Callithrix jacchus: one gene and its partners. The protein of the gene in region 3 binds, or shares a complex with, the protein of the main gene of each other region. Links are inferred from orthologs where the notes say so. Each region holds a gene or a part of one and is shown on either strand. Other genes may lie near its edges. The genes, in order: ITGB6, TGFBR2, TGFB3, TGFBR1, LRRC32 and ITGB8.

What was found.
Region 1: the proteins of TGFB3 (region 3) and ITGB6 are in contact, whole or in part, in a crystal structure (PDB 4UM9), measured with the Homo sapiens proteins. The link is inferred for Callithrix jacchus from reciprocal best matches to the Homo sapiens genes TGFB3 and ITGB6. Residues at the interface, in NP_001316868.1 of Homo sapiens: His259, Gly262, Asp263, Leu264, Arg266, Leu267, Lys268; in NP_000879.2 of Homo sapiens: Ser142, Ala143, Ser144, Asp147, Pro196, Cys197, Ser199, Ile200, Tyr202, Cys204, Ala234, Asn235, Ile236, Asp237, Thr238, Glu240, Asp271, Lys355.
Region 2: the proteins of TGFB3 (region 3) and TGFBR2 are in contact, whole or in part, in a crystal structure (PDB 9B9F), measured with the Homo sapiens proteins. The link is inferred for Callithrix jacchus from reciprocal best matches to the Homo sapiens genes TGFB3 and TGFBR2. Residues at the interface, in NP_001316868.1 of Homo sapiens: Arg325, Lys331, Trp332, His334, Tyr390, Tyr391, Val392, Gly393, Arg394; in NP_003233.4 of Homo sapiens: Leu50, Phe53, Asp55, Ser72, Ile73, Thr74, Ser75, Ile76, Glu78, Val100, Asp141, Glu142.
Region 4: the proteins of TGFB3 (region 3) and TGFBR1 are in contact, whole or in part, in a crystal structure (PDB 9B9F), measured with the Homo sapiens proteins. The link is inferred for Callithrix jacchus from reciprocal best matches to the Homo sapiens genes TGFB3 and TGFBR1. Residues at the interface, in NP_001316868.1 of Homo sapiens: Ala301, Leu302, Asp303, Asn305, Tyr306, Tyr350, Leu351, Ser353, Thr357, Thr360, Leu364, Leu368; in NP_004603.1 of Homo sapiens: His39, Leu40, Thr42, Lys43, Phe55, Met70, Ile78, Phe84, Val85, Lys91.
Region 5: the proteins of TGFB3 (region 3) and LRRC32 are in contact, whole or in part, in a cryo-EM structure (PDB 8VSB), measured with the Homo sapiens proteins. The link is inferred for Callithrix jacchus from reciprocal best matches to the Homo sapiens genes TGFB3 and LRRC32. Residues at the interface, in NP_001316868.1 of Homo sapiens: Leu24, Ser25, Thr26, Cys27, Thr28, Leu30, Pro347, Pro349, Tyr350, Leu351, Arg352, Thr357, His358, Val361, Leu364, Leu368, Ser375; in NP_001122394.1 of Homo sapiens: Ala110, Ser135, Tyr137, Ser160, Val184, Met186, Asp187, Ile188, Asp190, Phe193, Leu202, Leu204, Arg206, Asn207, Ser208, Thr210, Cys211, Ile212, Ser213, Asp214, Phe215, Ser216, Leu217, Cys227, Asn228, Ser229, Lys254.
Region 6: the proteins of TGFB3 (region 3) and ITGB8 are in contact, whole or in part, in a cryo-EM structure (PDB 8VS6), measured with the Homo sapiens proteins. The link is inferred for Callithrix jacchus from reciprocal best matches to the Homo sapiens genes TGFB3 and ITGB8. Residues at the interface, in NP_001316868.1 of Homo sapiens: Gly262, Asp263, Leu264, Arg266, Leu267, Lys268; in NP_002205.1 of Homo sapiens: Ser156, Ala157, Ser158, Asn161, Arg206, Gln210, Cys211, Tyr214, Leu216, Ser247, Gly248, Asn249, Ile250, Asp251, Thr252, Glu254.

The regions. Positions count from the first base shown.
Region 1 is NC_133507.1:69,659,830-69,663,329, reverse strand, and holds part of ITGB6 (integrin beta-6), read right to left. Parts: intron 3,346-3,500; coding exon 3,141-3,345; intron 2,570-3,140; coding exon 2,323-2,569; intron 1-2,322. UniProt on the Homo sapiens protein: Integrin alpha-V:beta-6 (ITGAV:ITGB6) is a receptor for fibronectin and cytotactin. It recognizes the sequence R-G-D in its ligands. Internalization of integrin alpha-V/beta-6 via clathrin-mediated endocytosis promotes carcinoma cell invasion.
Region 2 is NC_133518.1:68,835,799-68,840,045, reverse strand, and holds the start of TGFBR2 (TGF-beta receptor type-2), read right to left. Parts: upstream 2,801-4,247; 5' UTR 2,482-2,800; coding exon 2,388-2,481; intron 1-2,387. UniProt on the Homo sapiens protein: Transmembrane serine/threonine kinase forming with the TGF-beta type I serine/threonine kinase receptor, TGFBR1, the non-promiscuous receptor for the TGF-beta cytokines TGFB1, TGFB2 and TGFB3.
Region 3 is NC_133509.1:110,899,406-110,903,416, reverse strand, and holds the start of TGFB3 (transforming growth factor beta-3 proprotein), read left to right. Parts: upstream 1-1,211; 5' UTR 1,212-1,564; exon of another isoform or gene 1,565-1,703; intron 1,704-1,734; exon of another isoform or gene 1,735-1,948; 5' UTR 1,949-2,186; exon of another isoform or gene 2,187-2,632; 5' UTR 2,633-2,819; coding exon 2,820-3,171; intron 3,172-3,610; exon of another isoform or gene 3,611-3,677; coding exon of another isoform or gene 3,678-3,771; intron 3,772-4,011. UniProt on the Homo sapiens protein: Transforming growth factor beta-3 proprotein: Precursor of the Latency-associated peptide (LAP) and Transforming growth factor beta-3 (TGF-beta-3) chains, which constitute the regulatory and active subunit of TGF-beta-3, respectively.
Region 4 is NC_133502.1:147,265,348-147,268,847, reverse strand, and holds part of TGFBR1 (TGF-beta receptor type-1), read right to left. Parts: intron 3,287-3,500; coding exon 3,130-3,286; intron 1,606-3,129; coding exon 1,481-1,605; intron 475-1,480; coding exon 344-474; intron 1-343. UniProt on the Homo sapiens protein: Transmembrane serine/threonine kinase forming with the TGF-beta type II serine/threonine kinase receptor, TGFBR2, the non-promiscuous receptor for the TGF-beta cytokines TGFB1, TGFB2 and TGFB3.
Region 5 is NC_133511.1:64,331,535-64,335,034, reverse strand, and holds part of LRRC32 (transforming growth factor beta activator LRRC32), read right to left. Parts: coding exon 1,783-3,500; 3' UTR 1,762-1,782; exon of another isoform or gene 203-1,761; coding exon of another isoform or gene 152-202; 3' UTR 1-151.
Region 6 is NC_133512.1:37,881,921-37,885,420, forward strand, and holds part of ITGB8 (integrin beta-8), read right to left. Parts: intron 2,993-3,500; exon of another isoform or gene 2,925-2,992; intron 1,279-2,924; coding exon 1,032-1,278; intron 1-1,031. UniProt on the Homo sapiens protein: Integrin alpha-V:beta-8 (ITGAV:ITGB8) is a receptor for fibronectin. It recognizes the sequence R-G-D in its ligands.

The DNA of each region.
Region 1 (3,500 bases), on a different chromosome or scaffold from region 3:
TGGAAATGCAAAATGTACATTCGCTTTGGAAAACAATTTGGTAGTTTCTTTAAAAATTATACAGTTCAGCAATTCCAGTTTAGGTGTCTATTGTGAAGAGAAGTAAAAGCATACATCCATTCAAAGACTTCAGTGCAAGTGCTCACAGCAGCCTTTTCATAATAGCCCCCTAAAATAGAAACAACTCAAATGTTCTCCAATGAAAGAATGAGTAAACAAAATATAGTAAATAAATACAATGGATTGTTAACTGAAACGAAAAGAAGCAAACTCCTGATACATACAAAGTCATAGGTAAATCTTGAAAACATTATGTTGAACCAAAGAAGCCAAACACAGAGGGCATATACTACATTACATATTTATATAAAATTCAGGAATAGGTAAAACCAATATAAATTATCGACTTCGGAAAGCGGTTGCCTTTGAAGTGGTAGAACTGACTGTAATGGGAAATTTCTGAGGTGATGAAAATATTCTGCATCATGTTTTGGATACTGATTGCAATGGTATATTTAACCATCAAAACACATCAAACTAAACATTTTCCATCTGTGCATTTTAGGCATGTCAACTATACGTCACAAGGAATTGTGAGGAGTAGGCAGACAGTGTACTTATTGCCCCTATTTTCCTCCTTTCCTCCTGACTGAAATGAAGAAGTGATGATTAGTACCCCAGCACCATTCTTGGACCATGAAGATAAAATCCAAGTGTCAATAATGGTGAAACAGAGAGCAGAAAAAGGCCTGGATTCCTCATGTTTTTGAATCTGCCATACATCCCTGAATGGCCTTCCTCTGGTCCTTATATAAAAAAACAGAAGAAAATATTGGCTGGGCATAGTGGCTCATGCCTGTAATCCCAGCACTTTGGGAAGCTGAGGCAGGTGGATCACTTGAGGTCAGGAGTTTGAGAACAGCCTGGCCAACATAGTGAAACCCAGTCACTACTAAGACTACAAAAAATTAGCCGGGTGTGGTGGCAGGCGCCTGTAATCTCAGTTACTCAGGAGGCTGATGCAGAAAAATTGCTTGAACCCAGGAGGCAGAAATTGCAGTGAGCTGAGATCATGCCACTGCACTCCAGCCTGGGTGACAGAGTAAAACTCCATCTCAAAAACAAACAAACAAACAAACAAACAAACAAACAAACAAAAAACCTCCCTTTTTAAGCCACCATCACAGATATTTAAAACCAAACACAATTTTTAAGTGTTACAATCATTGAAAAGTTCCTTTTATGGTTAAATTATTTTTGATTATGTTAGATTGTAGTTGGGGGCTACATTGAGATTTTTTTAAATGGTATAATAAAAGCTATTTATCTTTTATAGAGATTGATGCTTTTGGTGTATAAAAGTATTATGTCAATAAACATTTGGAAAATTATTTCATATATATTAGATGTATAGTAGTAATGGGCTTGCTTTTGGGACAAATCGAATATGGGTACAGATCATGGGTTTGTCATGTGGCCTTGGGCAAATAGCTAACCTCTCAGAGCCTCTTATTTCTTCTGAGTATAGAGCTGGTGTTATTAAGCTTTAACCTGCTGTTATGAAGACTGAATGAGGTCATGTGTGTAAAACCTTCAGCACAAGGTCTGGCACAGAGCATATAGTAGCTCTTTTTCAATAGGAGAATATTAAATAGTTTGTTTCTGAACATGTCATTCACTTAACAGGTAAGCCATCACAAAGCAATTTGTCCTCCACCATCACCTGAATAATATGTGGTTTTAATAGCTTATTATAACATATTAGAATGGAGTCATTGCCTATGAAATCATTTACTACTGAATTTAATAGCTATGAAGGCTGCCCAGGCCTTCTCCAAGCAATAGGAGAAACAAATATTTCCCAAAGTACATCAGAGAAAGTTGCAAAAATTATTATTTTGCCAGAAGTCATTGTTGTGGAGAAACATTCTGGGAAAGTGAAGTTATTCTCCAATAACCTCAGAAAGTGGTGGCCACTGAGACTAGAAAGTGTGTGAAAGACTGGGCGAGGTGCCATCCAGCGGAGCCTATGGTGAAAGCCTTGGTCCCCTTGTCTGCATAACACACATTCTGGTTTGCTACAACCTGCCCTACACTGGAAGGCAGATGCAGAGGCTGCAAGAAGCCATGGCTAGAACCATGTAGTTCAGATGACCTCACCTCCACTCCAAGCAACCTAGGCACTGGAGAGAACTGCTGAGATCCAACCAGATGAAGCAGAAATGCCAGGGAGTTAGCAAGCTCCTGGCAAGTGCAGCTCAGAGCCGGGGTATCTCCACAAAAAATCAGTGCACGAAGATGCCAAGGGAATCATTTGCTTACCTGCAAGGGTTGGCAATTTCTTCTGGTGTTGTTTTCACAAAAGGGGATACAGGTTTTTCAACAAATGATCCGAAGCCCAGTCTAAAGTTGCTGGTTAATTTAGACATCTCCTTGGAAAGCCGGGATCCCAGCTCCTTGATTGTGTGGAGGTCATCATCCATGGAGGCGGAGAGGTCCATGAGGTAATACAAATCCACCGGATAGTCCTCGGTCTGGCGGACATGCACTTGCAGAGTCTGTGCACCACCTGCAAAGACCAATGGGAAAAGCAAACCCAGAAAAACACACTGAGATTCATTTGCAACTGGCCAGTTGCTGGGTCAGCTGGCTATTACACCTCAGTAAGAACTTACTGAAAGTCAAGGTCCTAAATGAACCAACCCATAAAAATTTTTCAGCAGGGAGTTTAGAACTACTGGAGGATAAGTTAGGATATTTTATATCTCCTTGGGAGAACTAGCATCCATTTAGATAGAAGATAAGCTGAATTTTTTGTGCTTCGTTTTAGAAAAGAGGCATCTAATAAAAGAGAGTTTAAATCTACATTACAACCCTTGAAGAGATGTGAGGTAAGCCTTAACAACATTTGAGTAATTTAAATGGTTACTATTAGAGAAGGCTTCTTTAGTAACACATTTGGAGTGCCAGGGACCAATGTGAATAAAGAAAAGTGTGAGCCTAGCAATTTTCTATTTCCTTAAGAATGGGAAATTCGAGGCATAATAATCAATGTAATACAATACAAGACACATTAGTGGAGTAGAAGAATTGCCATATATGACATCAGATCTATTTACATGAGCCAAATCCTAACATACCTGGTCTCAACTTCAGGATCAAGCTTTGAGGTGCAATCTGAACAATGTCAGAACTATTTTTCTGTGTGCCTACACTGAGAGGCTTATTTTTAAGTATTTCTACTTGTGAGACAGGGTTTTCGATGAAGTTTAATTGACATCCTTTAGCTAATAGGTTTGCTGGGGTATCACACCTTTCGCCAACTCCAGATGAGTGGGTAAAATTCTAAAAAAGAAAAAAGAAAATCAATAACTAGAAAAAGAAAACAAATCTGAATTTCTTATAAGATACCAGCAATTGAAAGTTTTTTATTATACATAGAAAGGAACAACCAGTATTAACCTTTCTAAAAATATACCAAAAAGTAAACAGCATCAACA
Region 2 (4,247 bases), on a different chromosome or scaffold from region 3:
CTTATCTTGCATTAAGATATTTTGAAAAACGTTTTCAGTTTACCAATTGTTAGAAAAAATCTGAAACTATTTCCTTACATGAAAAATTAAAATGTAAGTAGAATTAGGTTTCCTGTCTTCAATAGATCTGTCTTCAACCTTCAGCCAACTTTGAAAGTTTACTTCGAATCAAATTAATACAAATTAAAAATGATTCATTAATTCAACCATTTTGCAACTTCAATTCTATAAAAGTATGAAATCTGTTGGCCTTGCAAAACTGTGTAAAAACCCAAATAAAAAGCCACCACACTTTTAAGCTAATTGTTTAAAAGTGTGTATATAGATGAAATGAAACTGACTCATGACTATTGGGTCTGGAATTTGCAAATCATAAATCTTATCCTTGTAAACAGAATCTAACTAACAACATCAGGGCCTACTAATTTCCTTCTTTTATACACTGGAACAAACGTTTTAATGATTTTTAACATTCACAGAAAATTAAGGGTGCCATTTTAAATATTTATTAGCAAAATATAATTCAGGTTTTAAGAGTCTAGAGGAAAATGAAAGACAGTTGAACATTCTGGTACTGCAATGTAGGAAAAATGCCAAGAACAAAACACTCAGATTTTATTAAAACCATACGACTCAAATTTGCGTTAAGACTTTTTACTTGCAATAGTGCTTCTTCATAATTTGATTAAAAACTTCCATCTCCATGTCACCTTTAATGTAAGCAATAATTTTTTAAAACTTCTCCATCTATTTCATGTACTCTGAAATTTACAGCAGACTGTGATGTGCATTTTTCCCTAGACAAACCTAAAGGTGAATCTGCCCCTGGGTACATAAAATGAACACCTCGGGGTGATGTGGACTGTCAGCTCCTCTTCCTTTCACCCAAAGTCTACATGGCTCATCTCCAAGTCACCAGAAGTGCCAGGGGGAAAAGGAGGGGAGGGGCACGACACATAATATGTTAAACATGAAGATGATGTAAAATTACTCAGATTCAACATTGCCATTTTCCAGATGAGGAAACTACCGCCTAGAAAAAGTTCTATGACTTGCCTAAATACGCAGATAAATATCTGGCAGACAAGCTGCAGATACTGTTATTTGGCTCATAGCTGCAAAAAGTCTAACTTTTGGCCGGGCGCGGTGGCTCACGCCTGCAATCCCAGCACCTTGGGACGCTGAGGCGGTTGGATCACGGGGTCAAGAGATCGAGACCATCCTGGCCAACATGGTGAAACCCCGTCTCTACTAAAAATACACACATTAGCTGGGCATGGTGGTGGGCGCCTGTAATCCCAGCTACTCAGGAGGCTGAGGGAGGAGAATCGGTTGAACCTGTGATGCAGAAGTTGCAGTGAACCGAGATCGTGCCACTGCCCTCCAGCCTGGCGACTTAGTCTTAAAAAAACAAAAACAAAAAAAAAAAAAAAACGTCTAACTTTTGAAGTCTCAGGAGTTTTACACTTTCCATAACAAATAGTTAAGAACCCCCTTTCCTGCATGCATATGCATATATATAGATATATAGATATATATATAGTGTGTGTGTGTGTGTGTGTGTGTGTGTGTGTGTGTTTTCTTCAAAACCTTCAGAGACAGCGGTCAGGTGGGTAGCCTAGTTGGGATTTTTAACCCTTCGGTTTCCAACCAACGATCATTGCAGAGAAACACCAACTCCCTGAAGACAGGACTGTCTTGTTCCAGGCAAAATCTCCAGCCCCTAGCACCTAGTAGGCATTTACTGAAGGATTCCCGGTTTTCCCTGAGCGTCTCCACTCCCTACCCATCCGTGATGCCAAGGCGTCAGTGGAGCCAGCTAACTTTCCTTTGGAAATCGCTTATTTTCTTGAAACTTGTATCCAATAACTCCGGGCCAAGAAGCGGCCCTGAGGGCATGCGTGGCCGTGTCCTGGCGCTCAGGACTGAGGAGCTGGCCTTTGGAAGGGGTGGCTGGGAAAGAGCTGGGTGGGCGCGCCGCATCGCCGCGGGCGGAGGGGCCCAGGTGTGCTGGCTGCTTTGGCAGCTCAGGCTGCCGCCCCGCGCCGCGGCTCCCGGCCGCCTTCAGATAACCAACTTCTCAAACTTCCCTTTCCGGGGGTGGGGGCTCGCCTCGAACGCGGCCCGCACAACGCCTTTCCTGCTCGCACAAAGGGAACCGAACGTGCCCCGAGCCCCTGGCAGCTGAACTTTCCTTCTCTTTTTCGAGAAAAACTCATACATCCCCGCGGCTACGGGAGTCGGGCTGCGCGGGTGCCGCGGGGGAAACTTTCCTGGTTTCCGCCCGGGCGCCGGGTGGCCGGGCCCGACTGTCAAGCGCAGCGGAGGGGCGGGGAGCCCAGGAAGACCCCCGGCGCCCCGCCGAGCCCGGGCTGGGGGCCACTCACCCGACTTCGGAACTTGCGGTGGGATCGTGCTGGCGATGCGCGTCCACAGGACGATGTGCAGCGGCCACAGGCCCCTGAGCAGCCCCCGACCCATGGCAGACCCCGCCGCTCGTCATAGACCGAGCCCCAAGCGCAGCGGACGGCGCCTTCCCGGACCCCTGGCAGCGCCTCCGCACCGCGCCCTCCGTGGACGCCGCGCCCTCCCTGGACCCCGCGCCGGGCCGGCCGCGCAGAGGTGCGGGCCAGATGTGGCGGCCGCTCGCCAGCCAGGAGGGGCTGGAGGCCGGTGAGGCGCGGGGAGGCCCCCGGCGGCCGAGGAAAGCAGCGCAGGAGGCCGGCTCCCGTCCCGAGCGGGTGCACGCGCGGGGGTGTCGTCGCTCCGTGCGCGCGAGTGACTCACTCAACTTCAACTCGGCGCTGCGGGGGAAACAGGAAACTCCTCGCCAACAGCTGGGCAGGACCTCGCTCCGCCGACAGCCTTCTGCGCTCCTCCGCGCCCGGCCCCCGCGCTCTCGTAGCTGCCAATCATGCTTCCTAGCCCAGCCCCTGCGAGCGCTTTGGCCGACTTTCCGCTGCCCCTCACCGCCCTCCCGCCCCACTCAGGAGTTCCTTGCTCCAGGGATTTACTCAGGAGTGACTAAGTGCACGTAGTTCACAAAGTAACATCAGAAAACGTCCACGTTTCCCCTGGTCCATCAGAACATCGGTCGCCTCCCCTCAGCTGTCTGCAGCCTGCCCTGCCCCTAGGTGCTTGAGAGATGCGCTTTCAAATGACACGTTGAGATTCAGCAGTCAATACTCAAATCTAGTGAGTCGGGAGCACATTTCTTTCCCGAATAAAATAGTAACGGTAAGTATGACTTCACTAAACTTTTGCTTCAGTTGTGTCTCTAGCCATGTATGTATGTGCATACACTGTCAAGTTGTAAAATTTTTTCTTACTGTAGGTCAAAGTCTAGAGGTTTTTCTCAAATTTTAATGTCTATCTTGATCACCGGGAATATCGTTAAAAGAAAATGCAGATTCTAATTCAGTAGGTCTAGGAGGCAGGCTGAGATTCTGCTTTTCTAGTGAGCACCTTGATAGAGCCTCCCACTTTGCACCGCCTCTTCCTGAGGCTGAGTGAGTAACTGAATGATCACCTATCACGAAGCGATAATGGTTGGAAATGTAATTTTCAGAATGTATAGAGTATAGCAGAAACTGTAAAATTAAAAGTGGCTTGGGAGTCAGCTGAATGCTTGTGCTTTTATTCCCTTAATACAGGTCAAGAAAGAGAATACTTAGCCTCTCATGTGCAAAAGGAGTAACTTTCCAATTTCCTTTCTTGCTAGGGCAACCAGATTTGCCCAAGATGTTCCTGGTGTACTTGTTTTATAGCTTAAATATTAATAGAACCCCCTTTCTCTTTCTGATATGTCCTGACTGGATAATAAACTATGTGATGAACATACTTCCAGCTCTCAAAGATATGATTCTGTACAGCCCTCTGGTCAGATATTCCAGCGACTCAATGAATTCCTTTACCTACGAGGAAGATGGCAGAGGCCAGGGTTTGTGCCGCCGTCTCCAGGGAATAAAGGTAAATAGCCCTCCCCCAAAGCCAACTCCCAAATCTTCCCTGTGATTCTAAGAGTTCATTTGCTTCACCCTGGAATTTTAACTCTTGCTCCACCTAACAGCCAAGCTGCCTCTGCTTGTTTTGACACTTCCCAGCTCTCATGCTGAAGATGCAGAAAGCGCAGTGAAATCAGGAGGGCTAGGCATCTTCTTTCCCACCAATTAGTTGCCTTACCAAGGCTGGTGTGACTTTGGCAATGGAGGAAGATTGAGTTCCAGATCTTCTCCCTATTGCCTCTT
Region 3 (4,011 bases):
GGATTACAGATGTGAATCACTGCACCTGGCCCAGCACTTTTTACCCTACTGCATCATTTACATATTTAGTTTATTGCCTCCTCCACTGCCCCACCCCTGCCCCTAAAATATAAGTTCCATGAGGGCAAGAGTTTTGTTTGTTTTGTTCACCAATATTGTTCACAGAGTGTAGAACGGTGCCTGGCACATAGTAAACATTAACCTTTTTCTCAAATTCCAGAGGCAGTATAGCATAGTAATTAAGTCCACAGACTCTGGCAACGTCCTGGGTCCAAATCCCAACAGCTACCACCTAATAGCTATGTGACCTTGGGCATGTTATTTTTAAAGTTTCTACCCTTAGGTTTCCTCATCAGTTATGGAAATGAAAATAATGCCTACCCAAACTAGATAGCCTGTGTAAAATATCACCTCCATCATTCACAAACAGCACTGTGGTCTTTAATATATATATATATATATATATATATATATATATATATATATGCCTCAGTTTCCTCATCCGTATATGAGCCACCGCTGTGCTGGGATACAGTAAACAGCCCTTCAATTAGTGGCCTAGAAACCAGACCTCTCAGAAAGGGTCCAGGGAGGCTGGAGTGAGTTGGGGTGGGAGCGGCACTCACTTTCAGGAAAGTTCAGTTCAGATGCAAGCCCCTTGTTGCCCGGTGCGGGGGGGCCACGTGCCCTGCCCTCCCCGTGCTGCTCGTGGGAAAAGGCCTGGAGGTTCGGCCCGAGATGAGCGAAAGCGGAGAGCCAACTTCCCCTCACCCATCTGGGAAATGGGCTCGGGCCAACTGCTGACTTCGCGCTCGCTGGCGCAGCTCCCCTCGGAGCCCTCGGCGAGGAGGGAGGCTGAACATCTGGATGACATTTCTGCGAGAGCGGCTCTGGAGCCGCGGTTGGGGAGGGAGAGGTGCGCTCTTGCGCACGTGGGGCCGGGAGGGAGGCGATTCCCCGGAGCCCGGGTCTTGTTTTTCTCGCTCTCTCCCGCAGCCTCTTCTCCCGCCCCTCTACTGCCCCCAGCCCCCCCAGCCCTCCAACCTCCCAGCCCCCCCTTGCCCGCGCCTCCCCGGCTCCCGACCCGCTGAGCTCCTTCACTAGCGGCCTCGCCTCGCCAGAGGGCACCCTCGATCTTCCGGAAAACGCCACCATTTTTCACTGCCCCCGAAGCGTCTCCCGGCTTCTGCCCGCCTCTCGACTCCGAGCTTGTCAATGAAGAATCGGGCCAGGATCGCGGCGGAGCGGACACCGACCCTCCAATCCGGCTCGCAGCCGGGAGTCCCCTCCTCGAGGCTGGCACGGCCGACCTTGCCGGGCCCCGAGCCCTCCGCGGACCCTGTCCCGGGTTGGGCCTGGCCCGGGGGCGGCCCTGGGACCCGTGGACCGGGAGGGAGAGAGACGCGGGCCGCGGACGGCGCGGACTGACAGCCGGCGAGAGGGCGCAGGGGCTGGGGGAAAGGGAGGGAGGGGGCTCATCGGAGTAACTTTCCAGAAAAACAGCCAGCGTGTAGCAGGAGTGATTCCAAGAGGGGAAAAAAAGTTCAGCTACCACGTCGAACGAGTAGGACTCGCAAAGTATTTTTCAAATGGGCTCGGCTTTTCCTGTGCCTGTTTAAAACATTAACATCGTGCAGCAAAAGAGGCTGCGTGCGCTGGTCCCTCCCTCCCCCACCCCAGGCCAGAGACGTCATGGGAGGGAGGTATAAAATTTCAGCAGAGAGAAATAGAGAAAGCAGTGTGTGTGCATGTGTGTGAGAGAGAGAGGGAGAGGAGCGAGAGGGAGAGGGAGAAAGGGAGGGAAGCAGAGAGTCAAGTCCAAGGGAATGAGCGAGAGAGGCAGAGACAGGGGAAGAAGCGTGCGAAAGAAGGAATAACAGCTTTCCGGAGCAGGCGTGCCGTGAACTGGCTTCTATTTTATTTTTCTTCTCCTTTTCATTTTTTAAAGAGAAGCAGGGGACAGAAGCAATGGCCGAGGCAGAAGACAAGCCGAGGTGCTGGTGACCCTGGGCGTCCGAGTGGATGATTGGGGCTGCTGCGCTCGGAGGCCTCCCCCTGCCTTCCAATGCACATAACCCCACACCCCAGCCAATGAAGACGAGAGGCAGCGTGAACAAAGTCATTTAGAAAGCCCCCGAGGAAGTGTAAACAAAAGAGAAAGCATGAATGGAGTGCCTGAGAGACAAGTGTGTCCTGTACTGCCCCCACCTTTAACTGGGCCAGCAACTGCCCGGCCCGGCCTCTCCCCACCTACTCACTGGTGATCTGACTTTTTTTTTTTTTTAAACTTTTTCCCCTTTTCTTTTCCATTCTCTTTTCTTATTTTCCTTTAGGGCAAGGCAAGGATTTTGATTTTGGGATCCAGCCATGGTCCTTCTGCTCCTTCTTTAAAATACCCACTTTCTCCCCATCGCCAAGCGGTGTTTGGCAATATCAGATATCCGCTCTATTTATTTTTACCTAAGGAAAAACTCCAGCTCCCTTCCCACTCTCAGCTGCCTTGCCACCCCTCCCAGCCCTCCGCTTGCCCTCCACCTGGCCTGCTGGGAGTCAGAGCCCAGCAAAACCTGTTTAGACACATGGACAAGAATCCCAGAGCTACAAGGCACACAGTCCGCTTCTTCTTCCTCAGGGTTGCCAGCGCTTCCTGGAAGTCCTGAAGCTCTCGCAGTGCAGTGAGTTCATGCACCTTCTTGCCAAGCCTCAGTCTTTGGGATCTGGGGAGGCCGCCTGGTTTTCCTCCCTCCTTCTGCACGTCTGCTGGGGTCTCCTCCTCTCCAGGCCTCACCATCCCCCTGGCCTCTCTTCCCGGCTCACGCATGAAGATGCACTTGCAAAGGGCTCTGGTGGTCCTGGCCCTGCTGAACTTTGCCACGGTCAGCCTCTCTCTGTCCACTTGCACCACCTTGGACTTCGGCCACATCAAGAAGAAGAGGGTGGAAGCCATTAGGGGACAGATCTTGAGCAAGCTCAGGCTCACCAGCCCCCCTGAGCCATCGGTGATGACCCACGTCCCCTATCAGGTCCTGGCCCTTTACAACAGCACCCGGGAGCTGCTGGAGGAGATGCACGGGGAGAAGGAGGAAGGCTGCACCCAGGAAAATACCGAGTCGGAATACTATGCCAAAGAAATCCACAAATTCGACATGATCCAGGGGATGACGGAACACAGTAAGTCCAAATTCTCGCTGGGGTGTCTGCTCTGCAGGGTCTGAACTGGAGCAGGGAGCTCTGCAGAGGGGGGCCCAGTGCTGGCCACACAGCAGGGTGCCCCAGGATTGACCAGCACCGAGGCTCAGGAGGTGCGATGCTCCTCTTTTGGGGCTGGGGAGGTGGGTGGGAAGGGAGATAGAGCCATTCTGCTAAGAGCCTACGCTTCTGGGAGGTCAGGAACCCTGAAGCTGAACAGCTTGCTGAACTCACATCACATCCTTGACTGATTTTAATTTGGAATTACATTGTGCTGTCCAGGGAAACATATGTATTCTTGCACATGTGATCATATCAGTAACTGTAAGCATCTGGGTGCCATAAAGGGGAAGGCCGGCCCTGTCAGGAGCCCTTACAGTTCTGAGTGTGGAGACCTCAGTCTTCTCCCTGCTTTTCACAGCTCACTGTGACACGTCTCCGGTTCAATTTTTCCAGTCCTTGGGAAGAAGAGTACCTGCCCTCAATTAATGTCTGTCAAGCTTTTTGAAGCCCAGGCAAGAGACAGCTTCTTGCTAACTGGGCCCTTTGGTCTACCCCACCCACGTGACCCACGAGCCCCACGTGAGCTGTGTGTGTGTGTGTGTGTGTGTGTGTGTGTGTGTGTGTGGAGGGGAGAGGGTGCACACGAATGTTCCCAGGGCCGGGTACTTTGGGGCAACATGTAGTCTTATGCAGTAGACAGATTCCTCTGCTCAAAATGGGCGCCCTCCAGGCCAGTGGGCACGGGGAGAGTGGGTTGTGGCTCTGGATGCGTAGAGGAGGCTGGCGCCCTTTGTGTCTGCGTGTCATGGGAGAGTGGGT
Region 4 (3,500 bases), on a different chromosome or scaffold from region 3:
AGGTGGAGGTTGCGGTGAGCCGAGATCGCGCCATTGTACTCCAGCCTGGGTAACAAGAGCAAAACTCCGTCACTAAAAAAAAAAAAAAAAAGTATGTGCCTTACGCTTGCCTGGCAGATCTAAACTATGTTCTGATATGTAAAGGCCACTGCAAATGTTCCATGGCCCTTTCAATGTGCTTACAATTGAATATGAAAACCAAATTATTCTGTTTTTACACATTGGTTTGACTGCTTTGAAAAAGAAAATTCTTGTCTGTTTTCCTTAAAGAAAAGTAGCAAATTTTCACTTACTCAGCAGAATCAATTTAGAAAATTGCCTAATATCAGAAAGAAATACTCACTTCACAGCTCTGCCATCTGTTTGGGATATTTGGCCTTAACTTCTGTTCACAAACGACTTTTCTCATTTCTTCAACTGATGGGTCAGAAGGTACAAGATCATAATAAGGCAGCTGGTAATCTTCATGAATACCTGTATTAGTTTAAAAGAAAATTAAATTTTGAAGAATTTATTCAGCTAATGCCAAACCATTAAAAAGATCACCTGAGAGCCCTTGTACTGTGTCATTACTAAAGTAGGTAGGTGGAACTGAGATGATAGCTTTCTCTATCTCATCCACATCTGTATCCATAGACCACTTTCCTGAGTTGATACTGAGCCCACACCTTGAAACTAAGTATTGCCATAAGATCAATAAAGTCTATTTGAAATGACAGTAAACTATGAGCTGTGATGAGCAGATTGACATTTTCCCCTAGAGCCCTACTGTGCAGCAACTGAGATTCTATTCTGTGAGTGAACAGGCTTTCACTTCAGTGAGACATGAATCCTATGAGGCAAGTTTAAGGTTTCTCTACTTGCTTTCTCTACTTGCTTCTGTCAATAATATATCCTATTTACTACAATACAGAGAAATACTCTGTCCCTCACTGCCTCAAAAACCTAAGGCCTAGGTCTCAGCCACGCCTAGGTCCCCAAGCCTAAGAGACTTTCCTGGGTAAACATTAAAAAGTGCTCCATCTAAAAAGCTAGAAGTTAAAACAAACTCTAGAAAACAACACAATGGTATTCTGTGTATGTAATCTATAACTATCAAGTTGGAGAAAATAGCCACAATCTCAAAGAAAAAAAATAAGTTTGTCACCCAGGTACATGCTAGAAACAGCTGCCTAGGTGAGCCTCTCAAGCAGCTATCCTTTCTAAAGAACTATATTCCAATATAACAAGGGGTTGGGTTCTGATGAGTCTCAAGATTCAAATGGAAACAGTAAGAGAATACACTAGGCTAGAGCTGTGCATGTGTACACCATGGCACTGTCCCCTCCCAAAGGTTTCATCGCCTTTGTTTTCTCTGGCATTTGGTGACCTCCTGTTTCAGATGATAAACTGTACATAATTTCATTCAACAAAAAAAGAAGACAATTCTTGAACAAATTCTGTTCATAACAAACTGTTGAGGGAAAGGGGAGCAATTTACCACCAATGGAACATCGTCGAGCAATTTCCCAGAATACTAAGCCCATTGCATAGATGTCGGCACGTTTGAAGGATTCAAAATGTTTCATATTTATGGAATCATCGAGAACTTCAGGGGCCATGTACCTAAAAGAAAATTTGCAAAAAGAACTTTGAAAGTCATGCCCTTATTGCCACATTGTGATGAATATCCACTCAGACATTTCTCTAAACATAGACATCTGCACACAATATTACACAGCAAATATTAGACTCGAGAAAAATATTAAATACACACACTGGTTTGCACATTAATGATGTCAACTAAATCACACAAAACGCTAAAACAGCAGTTTCACACTATCTGCGTCATGATCTTGGTTTCCAATGAAAGACACACATATAACCATTGTAACCATTTAAGATGTCCTAATGTACACCACCTATACATGTACTAGGCAGAAACCATGCATGTGAATCTAGAAGTCATCTCACTGAGGATGAAAGGAAGGGCAGGAATATACACCAGGGAAAAAGATAACAGATACAAAAGAATGCCAGTTCTCCTACTGATGCTACACTGGAGGGTTCTGAAGCGTTGAAAACCTACTAAAATTATGGGTCAGGACCCACAGAGACCTGCAGCAACCACTGCCAGGGACCCACTTAGCTGGCTGAGAGTTGAGAACCCCCAGTGAATCCAGAAATCTCAAAATCATACATGCAATTTGAATAGACTAATGCTGCCAGCTCTCCGGCTCTCTCCAAGGCCAAGGCAGTAGGTTTGAAGAAATGCTGTGACAACATGTGAAAAGGGCTTTGTGTCAGAAATGCCCAGGTTCAAATCTCAGCTCTCTGGCTTATCATCCACATGAAGCTGGCCAAATTATTTAACCTCCAAAAGGTGGTTTCCTCATCTGTGAATTAAGGGTAACAACACCTACCTAATTAAGTTCTTTTGAAGACTCACCGGCTCAACAAATATCTACTGAGGATCTACCATGTATTAGGCACTGTGAAGGATGCTGAGAATACAAGTCTGCTCTCAAGCAGCTTGCACCTAATAGAATATACAGGCAAATAAATAAACAGTTACAATGTAATGCATAAGTGCCTCAATGGTCCCAGTTCAGTGTGCTATGACAGCCCTTGGAGGGACTCCTAACAGTCTTGAGGACCAGAAAAAACTTCCTATGGGAAAGGTGGGTATGTGGCTGAGAAACAGTAGGGTAATGTATGCTCCAGGTGACAGCATGTGCAAAAGTTCTAAGAAAGCAAGAAAGACATATTTTCAGGGACTGAAATATTAAAAAAGCAGGGCTAGCTATAGTACAGTATTTGAGAGGGTTGTTAAATGAGATAATATATGTAAAAGACCTATTAGCTAGATGATTGGCACAAAATAGGTGCCCTATAAACGTGAGTTACTACTGTTACTATAATTAACATGACTAATAATATTTTCTGGAAGGGCAACCTTCCATCTGCAGGCAACTTTTTAAGTCAGGTAACTTTGGCTTCAGAGCAGGCAAGACCATGAGATCTTCTTGCCTGTTGGCAATCTAATAAAGTACAAGCTTAAGCTGAGTTCAGTGATAATATGTACATATAAAAGAAAAGGGAAAAAAGGTGATTTCAGAAGATATTAAATATATTTGTTTGAAAGTATACCTTTTTGTTCCCACTCTGTGGTTTGGAGCAATATCAATTGTATCTGTGGCTGAATCATGTCTTACTGCCAGTCCTAAGTCTGCAATACAGCAAGTTCCATTCTTCTTTACCAAGATATTCTTCGATTTCAAGTCCCTATGAGCAATGGCTGGCTTTCCTAAAGAATCAAAAATTAAACATGACTGCTTAAAAGGTAATACCAATCACAGCTCAAATACCTTTAAAGTCTCTTCTCCTAACCCAAATGTATGAAATCATTTCAGCCCACATGACCAACAATACCTGAGCCATTACTAAATAAACTCAAGTGAATCATTACACCAAAAGTTATTGAAATTACATTTCTTTAAAGAAAATGGGGACAATAACAA
Region 5 (3,500 bases), on a different chromosome or scaffold from region 3:
AAAATGGGATGGAGACGTGGTGGTTTCATTTTATCACACATTACTGAGGCCACATCATGAGCCAGACTGTGGGCCAAGCACAGGTAAGCTGACGAAGACAGTAACACAGGGTCTTGAGTTGGTCCCAGGGCTTCCATTCTTCCCAGACAGTTCACGACTCCATGGTGTGAGGGACAGGGGTTATCCGGGTGAGCCTTTCTACCTGAATTTTTAGGGGGGAAAAAAATCCTTGCATGATGACGTACAGAAAGGAAGTTTGGAGCCAGCATTATCTTGTGATGTGACAGGCAAGAGACGACACCACTCTGGTCCAACCCCCATCTCACCCCACCAAATAAGGTCTGACTCTTTTTTTTCCCCCACATGCTCTGACACTGACTTGTACAGCTTTCTGTAAGTTTCATTCTCTTCCTGAACCTCAGTTTCCCCATCTTTGCAATGGGCGGGGGCTGGATTCAATAGTCTCAAACTCCAGGCTCTGCTCAATAGAGGAAAAGGGAGTGAGAGAATGCAAGAGCAAGGAGAGAACAGGCCCCATACCAGGGTGCAAAGGAGGGGAGGAGGGAAACTAAGAAGGAGGAGAGGGCCCGTGGCTGCCTGCCTAGGAGAGAGGAGAGAGCAGATGTGCATGGCACAGGATGCTTCCAGACCCTGCTTGGGCTATGTGGGACCACTTCCTGTTCTCTTAATGGCCTGCAGCCCTTGCAGTGGTAAAGATCCAGGCCCTGGAGACAGAAGGATGAGGGTTTGAATCTCACCTATGGCATTAGTTAGCTGGGGCCATGGAGGAAGATTTGCAGAACTTCAGTTTCCTCTTTTATAAAATAGGGATAAAATATCAACCTCTAAGGGCTGTCATATAGGAGCAAGGCTCGGATTCACATCCACATCTGTCAAGCTGGGTGCAAAACAGAACCAGACATCTAAGGTTCTAGCTCCTGGCACAGCAGCCAAGATGGGGCTGGGACGGAGAAGGGAGGCTGGGCAGGGAGGGGCTTAGAGCAGTACTAGGGTCAGGGTGTGCAACATGAGAGTGCCAGGTAGAGAGAGGACCTGTCCAGAGCAGGAGACGGAATGGCCCAGTGCTGGGCTAGACCCCTTAACCAGACCCTGCTGGAGCTGCCACAGCCCACCTAACAGCACCACATCCAAGACACACTCGGACGGCTCCCAGTTCTCTCTTTCTGTCATAAGCGCTTCATTTTCAGAGAGGCTGAAAGTCATTATTAAATGTGACAAACAGTCTGCTTGGAAATGTCTAAGACAAATCCTCCTGGGCTTGGCCCTTTCTGGCCCTGGCATTGCTGGGGCCGGACTCTCCGCCCTGAACCAGCAGGGCCTGCCGAGCTCCAGACCCCTGGGCTTTCACTCCTCAGGCCCTGAGCACACTGTGTGGTCACGGTGTGGCTCTGCAGCAACCCCTCCTACCAAACTGGGAGATTCTCGAGGGCAGGAATGTATCTCATTTCCCAGCGTTCCCAGTGCCCAGAGCAGGGTGTAGCACAAAATAGATGTTCATTGAAGATTTGTTGATCTGATGGGTCAACATTATTCTCTGCTGTCCCTGAAACCGCCCAACCTCTGGCTTCCACAGCTGGACCCAAAGTGCAGCCCAGGAAGGGAGTCACCCGCTGATGCAGCAGGCGGCAGAGAAAGGAGTACTGGGCTGCGATTTGGGGACCAGTGTTCTGGGACCCTGGGTCACTGTGTGACCTTGAGTCAGGCCTCACTCTTCTCTGTACCTCAGGCTCCTGCACTGACCTAGAGCATCTCCCGGCTTCTTTAGGCTTTACATTGTTGGTTAAACTTCTGCCGGCGGAGGCAGCAACAGGTGGCGAGCGTGGTGAGGAGGATGGCAGAGACCAGTATGAAGGTGAGGATGATAATGAGGTTGATGTTCTTGAGCCCCCCCTTCTCACAGTCCTCGGGACGCACGTGGCTCAGAGACACCTCCTCCTGAGAGCTGAAGCGGCAGATCAGGTCCTGGGTGGCGTCCACATCCACTCGGCCCTGGTGCAGCTGGGCTGCCAGCCAGCCATTGCCGCAGCAGCTGAGTGGATTCCCCTGCAGGTAGAGGCGTCGGAGGCTGGTCTCCAGGCCACCCATGGCACTGCCTGGCAGGAGGCTGAAGCTGTTGTTCCGCAGGTCCAGCACCTCCAGTGACACGGCCTGTGTCCAGGCGGGAAGGTGGCTCAGGCAGTTCTCAGCAAGATTGAGCCGCTTGAGGCAGCTGAAGTAGGGCAGGTCCACCTGCAGGACCGCCAGCCCATTACCCTGCAGTGCCAGGACCTCCAAGGAGGCCTCCAGACCTGCCAAGGCCCCCCTGGCCACCACTAGCCCAGGGTTGGAAGAGAGGTCCAGCTCAGTCAGTGGGGTGTGGAGGAAGGCCCCTGCTCTGAGCATCTCTATCTCATTATCCACCAGGCTCAGGCTGCGGAGCGAGGAGATGCCGGAGAAGGCCACACAGCTGGAGGGGCCAGGCTCATCTGGACCCCCACAGGGGCTGACCCGGTTCCCCTGCAGGTTGAGATGCTGCAGGCTGGCCAGGTTGGCAAAGGTGTATAGGGGCAGGTCCCGCAGGGCATTGCCCTGTAGGAGCAGCGTCCGCAGGGACCCCAGGGCTCTGGTGCCCAGTTCCAGTGCCTCCAGGGCATTGTGGCTTAAGTCCAGGAGCATTAGGCAGGACAGGGAGCCCGAGCGCCGGGCCTCAAAAGCCCGCAAACAGTTTCGGCTGAGGTTCAGGAAGCACAGGGAGGTCAGGTGCTCAAGAAAGCTGTCAGGGATGAGCTCAATCTCATTGTAGCTCAAATCCAGATTCAAGAGCTGGGAAAGGGGGTGGGCACTGGCATTTCCCCTGGGGTTTGAGAGGGGCAGGGCTGACCAGCCCTCAGAAGGTGCGTGGATGGCCTTGCTGTGCTGGGGTGGCCCTGTGGGGAGCCGGATGAGGTTATTGGACATGTTCAGGTAGATGAGTCTTGGGAACGCGGCCAGGTCAGGAAAATGGAGCAGTTTGTTCTCCCGCAGGTCGAGCCAGGTGAGCTGGAACTCGGCTTGGGGCATGGGGGCCGTCTGAAAGGTCTCGATGCTATTGCAGCTCAGGTCCAGCACCTGCAGCTGCAGGAGGCTGAAGTCAGAGATGCAGGTGAGGGAATTCCTGGAGAGGTTGAGATGGGTCAAGCGGGGAAGGGCTTCGAAGGCGCCGTCCTCGATGTCCATCAGCACGTTGCTATGTAGGTCAAGCCGCTCTAGCGCAGGCATGCCCCGGAAGGTGTGGTGGGTGAGGCGAGTCAGACTGTTCTCCGCCAGCGAGAGGGTATGCAGGCGGGGTGCCTCCTCCAGCAGCTGCTCCAGCAGGCCGCTGTACAGGCTGTTCCCAGACAGGTCCAGGGAGGTCACGTGTGGCAGGGGGCCCAGGCCGCCAGTACTCAGTACAGTGCCCACTGCCAGCCGGTTGTGGGCCAGGCTGAGGTGCTGCAGGTGGGGCAGGGCCTGGAAGGCTC
Region 6 (3,500 bases), on a different chromosome or scaffold from region 3:
GAATGTGCAGTGATTTCTTATCATTGAACAGCTGAGAAACCCTTTTGGAAAAGGTTTTTGGGAAATTTAGTTGAAATATCATATTACAGTTTTGTTTTTAATACTGTACTAATTTTTAAAATGATACTTGGTAGAATTATTGATGAACAATCAAAATTCATGAAAGTTATTTTGAGAATCCATGATATCCAGAAAGTAAGAATGATTCCTCTGGCACATTCACCTCAAGAAGGCTTATGAAACTCCATTAGTGGATGTGTCAATCTTGTTCTGGTACAAGAGATGACAGAGTCGTTTTGGTAAATTGGAATACATATTGTAAGGTAATCTAAGCAATTTGTAGAAGCAAGAAAGATAAAGTCTTTTATGAAAAAAGATCCATACAGATTTCCTTTACTGAAAATTCTACAGGCTAATGGCAATATTGTGTGAGATTGTATTTTTAAGGTTAATTCTTCTTTCATAGTGGGATGTATGTTATTTAGAATCAGAATTCTAAAATGGTAAGAAAAAAAGGGTCTTTCTAAGCAGTCAAATTCTCATCTTTTGACCCACTTTCTTTGTGACAGCTGAGCTTGCTTTATAGTCACATTATAGGCGACATTATCCACAGTCACAACACAGTGACGGAGAGACAGATGAAACGTGGGCACAAACTCTTTAAAGTGTATCAAACCATAATTCAATAATTTTGGAGCAATCAAAAAATAAAAATACAGAATTTCCAAAGAGGTATTTATATACATTGCAGACTAATTATTGATGGTTTATTCAAAGTTACTAACATTAGGTAGGATTTTTTTTTGATGATAAAAACTGACTAAATATTTGAAGAAATATAAAACAAAAAGCCTAATCTACAGGTCATCTCAGATATTTCCAGATATGAACAAACCTCCCCACCTCACCAAATATTTTTATTATTATTTTATATAAAATTATAAAATTTGGTATGTTCTTTATATTAAAAACAAAGTGAAATTTTATGAGCAAAAAATTAATTGAGTATATCCACATCAAATCCTAGATACCTGCATTGATTATGAATCCTTTCAGGATGGATGCTAATGTATGGTGAAACTGTTTTATCAACGTACGAGCCAAATCCAAGACGAAAGTCAGTGGTGAAAAATTGCATTTTTCTAGATAAATCATTTCCAATAAAATTTAATTTTTCTATATTATTGTGCATTGATGCCGAGACATCAACCAGATAATAAAGATCCACAGGATATTTCTTCAGAGGATGAATTCTCAGCATAAAATTAGCTTCAGCTCCTAGTTCAACAGAAGAAAAGCATCATGTAGTCTTCATTTTAAACATTTCAGGATAAGATCTCAATGAATTAGTCACATTCTAGCACCTAACACAATCATCACAAATTTGTACATACATTTCAGAATATTCTAGTATAATTGTGACAAGTATAGCATAATTATTATTCTAGTATAATTATAAGGCAATTTGAAAACTATACCAATTTATTAGTCTCCAAATCCTACAGTACATTCCCCACAGTTCTATAGGCTGAATAGGGATGATAACAAATGGGCCAGTTCCATATAAATGTAACAGGGTATTGTATCATTATATAAACCTCCCTTGCCTTAGTAGTCAGAAAAACATAGTGCAAACCAGCCAGCAGCATTCTATCCCAAAACAGTGAGGGGGCTGTACTTGTAGAATGAGTTGAGGAAAACTGGGAATGTATCTTTTAAAAAAAGATCTCTTATTGAATAAAGGCATAAATTCATTCTTTTGGGTTAAAGTGTATTTACACAGGAGATGAGAAAACTCTGGCACTTCAGAGTACAACAAGCTATTCAAAATAATTACCATCTCATCACTAGTTAGTTGATAGGATTCCTCTCATCAGTTGGCTGACAGAAGGAATGAGCCAGTGGGCTAAAGAACTACACCCTGCAGTACCATATGGAGGACCTGGGGAAGGGAGGGGTCAGCATTTGCCCAACACACAGTGGGTGTTCAATGAACACACACTGGAGAGGGGTCCCATGGGCAAGGCACCCACCCTGGGCAAAACAACTGGATGAGAAGAAGGGGCTGCCACAAGGACAAACGTCAGTAGTCTCCGCCGGGAACTACAGTTTTATTTAGTTCTTCGTTATATTACTATTTGATAAAGGACCTGGGTTATCCCCCTAACCCTCTATAGAGTTGGTATCTCTACTTTTCATTTAAAGTACACGGTGAAAAGGCAACTACTTAAATATAGGCAATTTGCAATTTATGAATTTTACTTTTTTAAACAAATAAGCAAATGCTTTGTAAGTCATTATTTTTTCCTAAGAATATTCTGAATGAAAAACATTTTTAAAATAAACATTGATTTGTATACATAAGTTACTCATTTAAAGAATCTTCTAATTAATCAAATCATATGTTTGGTATTAGTATAAAATAGCAATATTTTCTTTTCAATTATTTCACAAATCAGATGTTTTTCAGCCAAATTACTTACTGTATTCCAAATAATAAGATTTTGCTGATATATAATAATAATTATGGGAGAAAGGAACTACTCAATCTGAATTTGCTTTTATGTCCAGGCAGGCCTTTTAATGTAATGCTCCTAGGTTTTGGCCCCTATTTGAGAGGAGAAATTGGGCATGCATGGTCCAGCCCAGTCCATTCTCTCATCCCTTGCCTTCAGAAGCTAGACTGCTTCCAGAGACCATATCCTACATTCGGCTCTGCTTCTGGTCTTCTGTTGACAGAAAGAACCATTCCCTGTGGCAGTGTTCTGCAATTTGAGTGGAGAAATTAAATTAAGGGGAATGTTAGACACTAGTACACTGGGCCAAATCCATGAGAAGCAGAAATTCAGCACTACTGGGGAGAGCGGTTCTCATGCAGGGACTTGAACCTTCATGTACGGATCAGCACTTTTTGTTTTTGTTTCTCACTCAGACCCAAAGTGTCAACTCTCTCTAGAACTGCTGTTGGTGGAAAGTACTGCCATCTTTTTAGATTAAAAAAAATTGTTTTTCTAAACTGGCCACACGGTATCATAGTATTTTTATGTTGGTGAATCATTGCAGTTTATGGTGGCTCTGTCTAAAAATGAATGGCTGTTTTCAGAGGTATTGCTAGATGTACTAGATAGTCAGCATACTGTGCCAGGGACCCAGCAAAGGTATGGGTTGGTCACCTCAGCAAACAAGCAGAGCCTGCATAGCATCAGCAAAGGCACAGTCCTTGGAGGTAAGCTATTCAGGGCCCTCCAACCAAATGCTAGACACACAAGGCCCTCAGCTGAAACCAGATGCTGATAGCCCAGCAAGCAAATTCCAGTCTCACTGGCCTCAGCAAAGAAGAAGCCTGTGAGAGAGGACTGCCAAATGGTCAGGGTTTGAGAGTGTGAGCTGCTGTGGCTTGATTTTGGATTCTATAGATTCTGACCTTAGCACATATACTGCGGTCAGCTGGGGCCTCAGTAGAGAAGATTCCAATGAAAAGGAAAGAGAGTATTTCCATA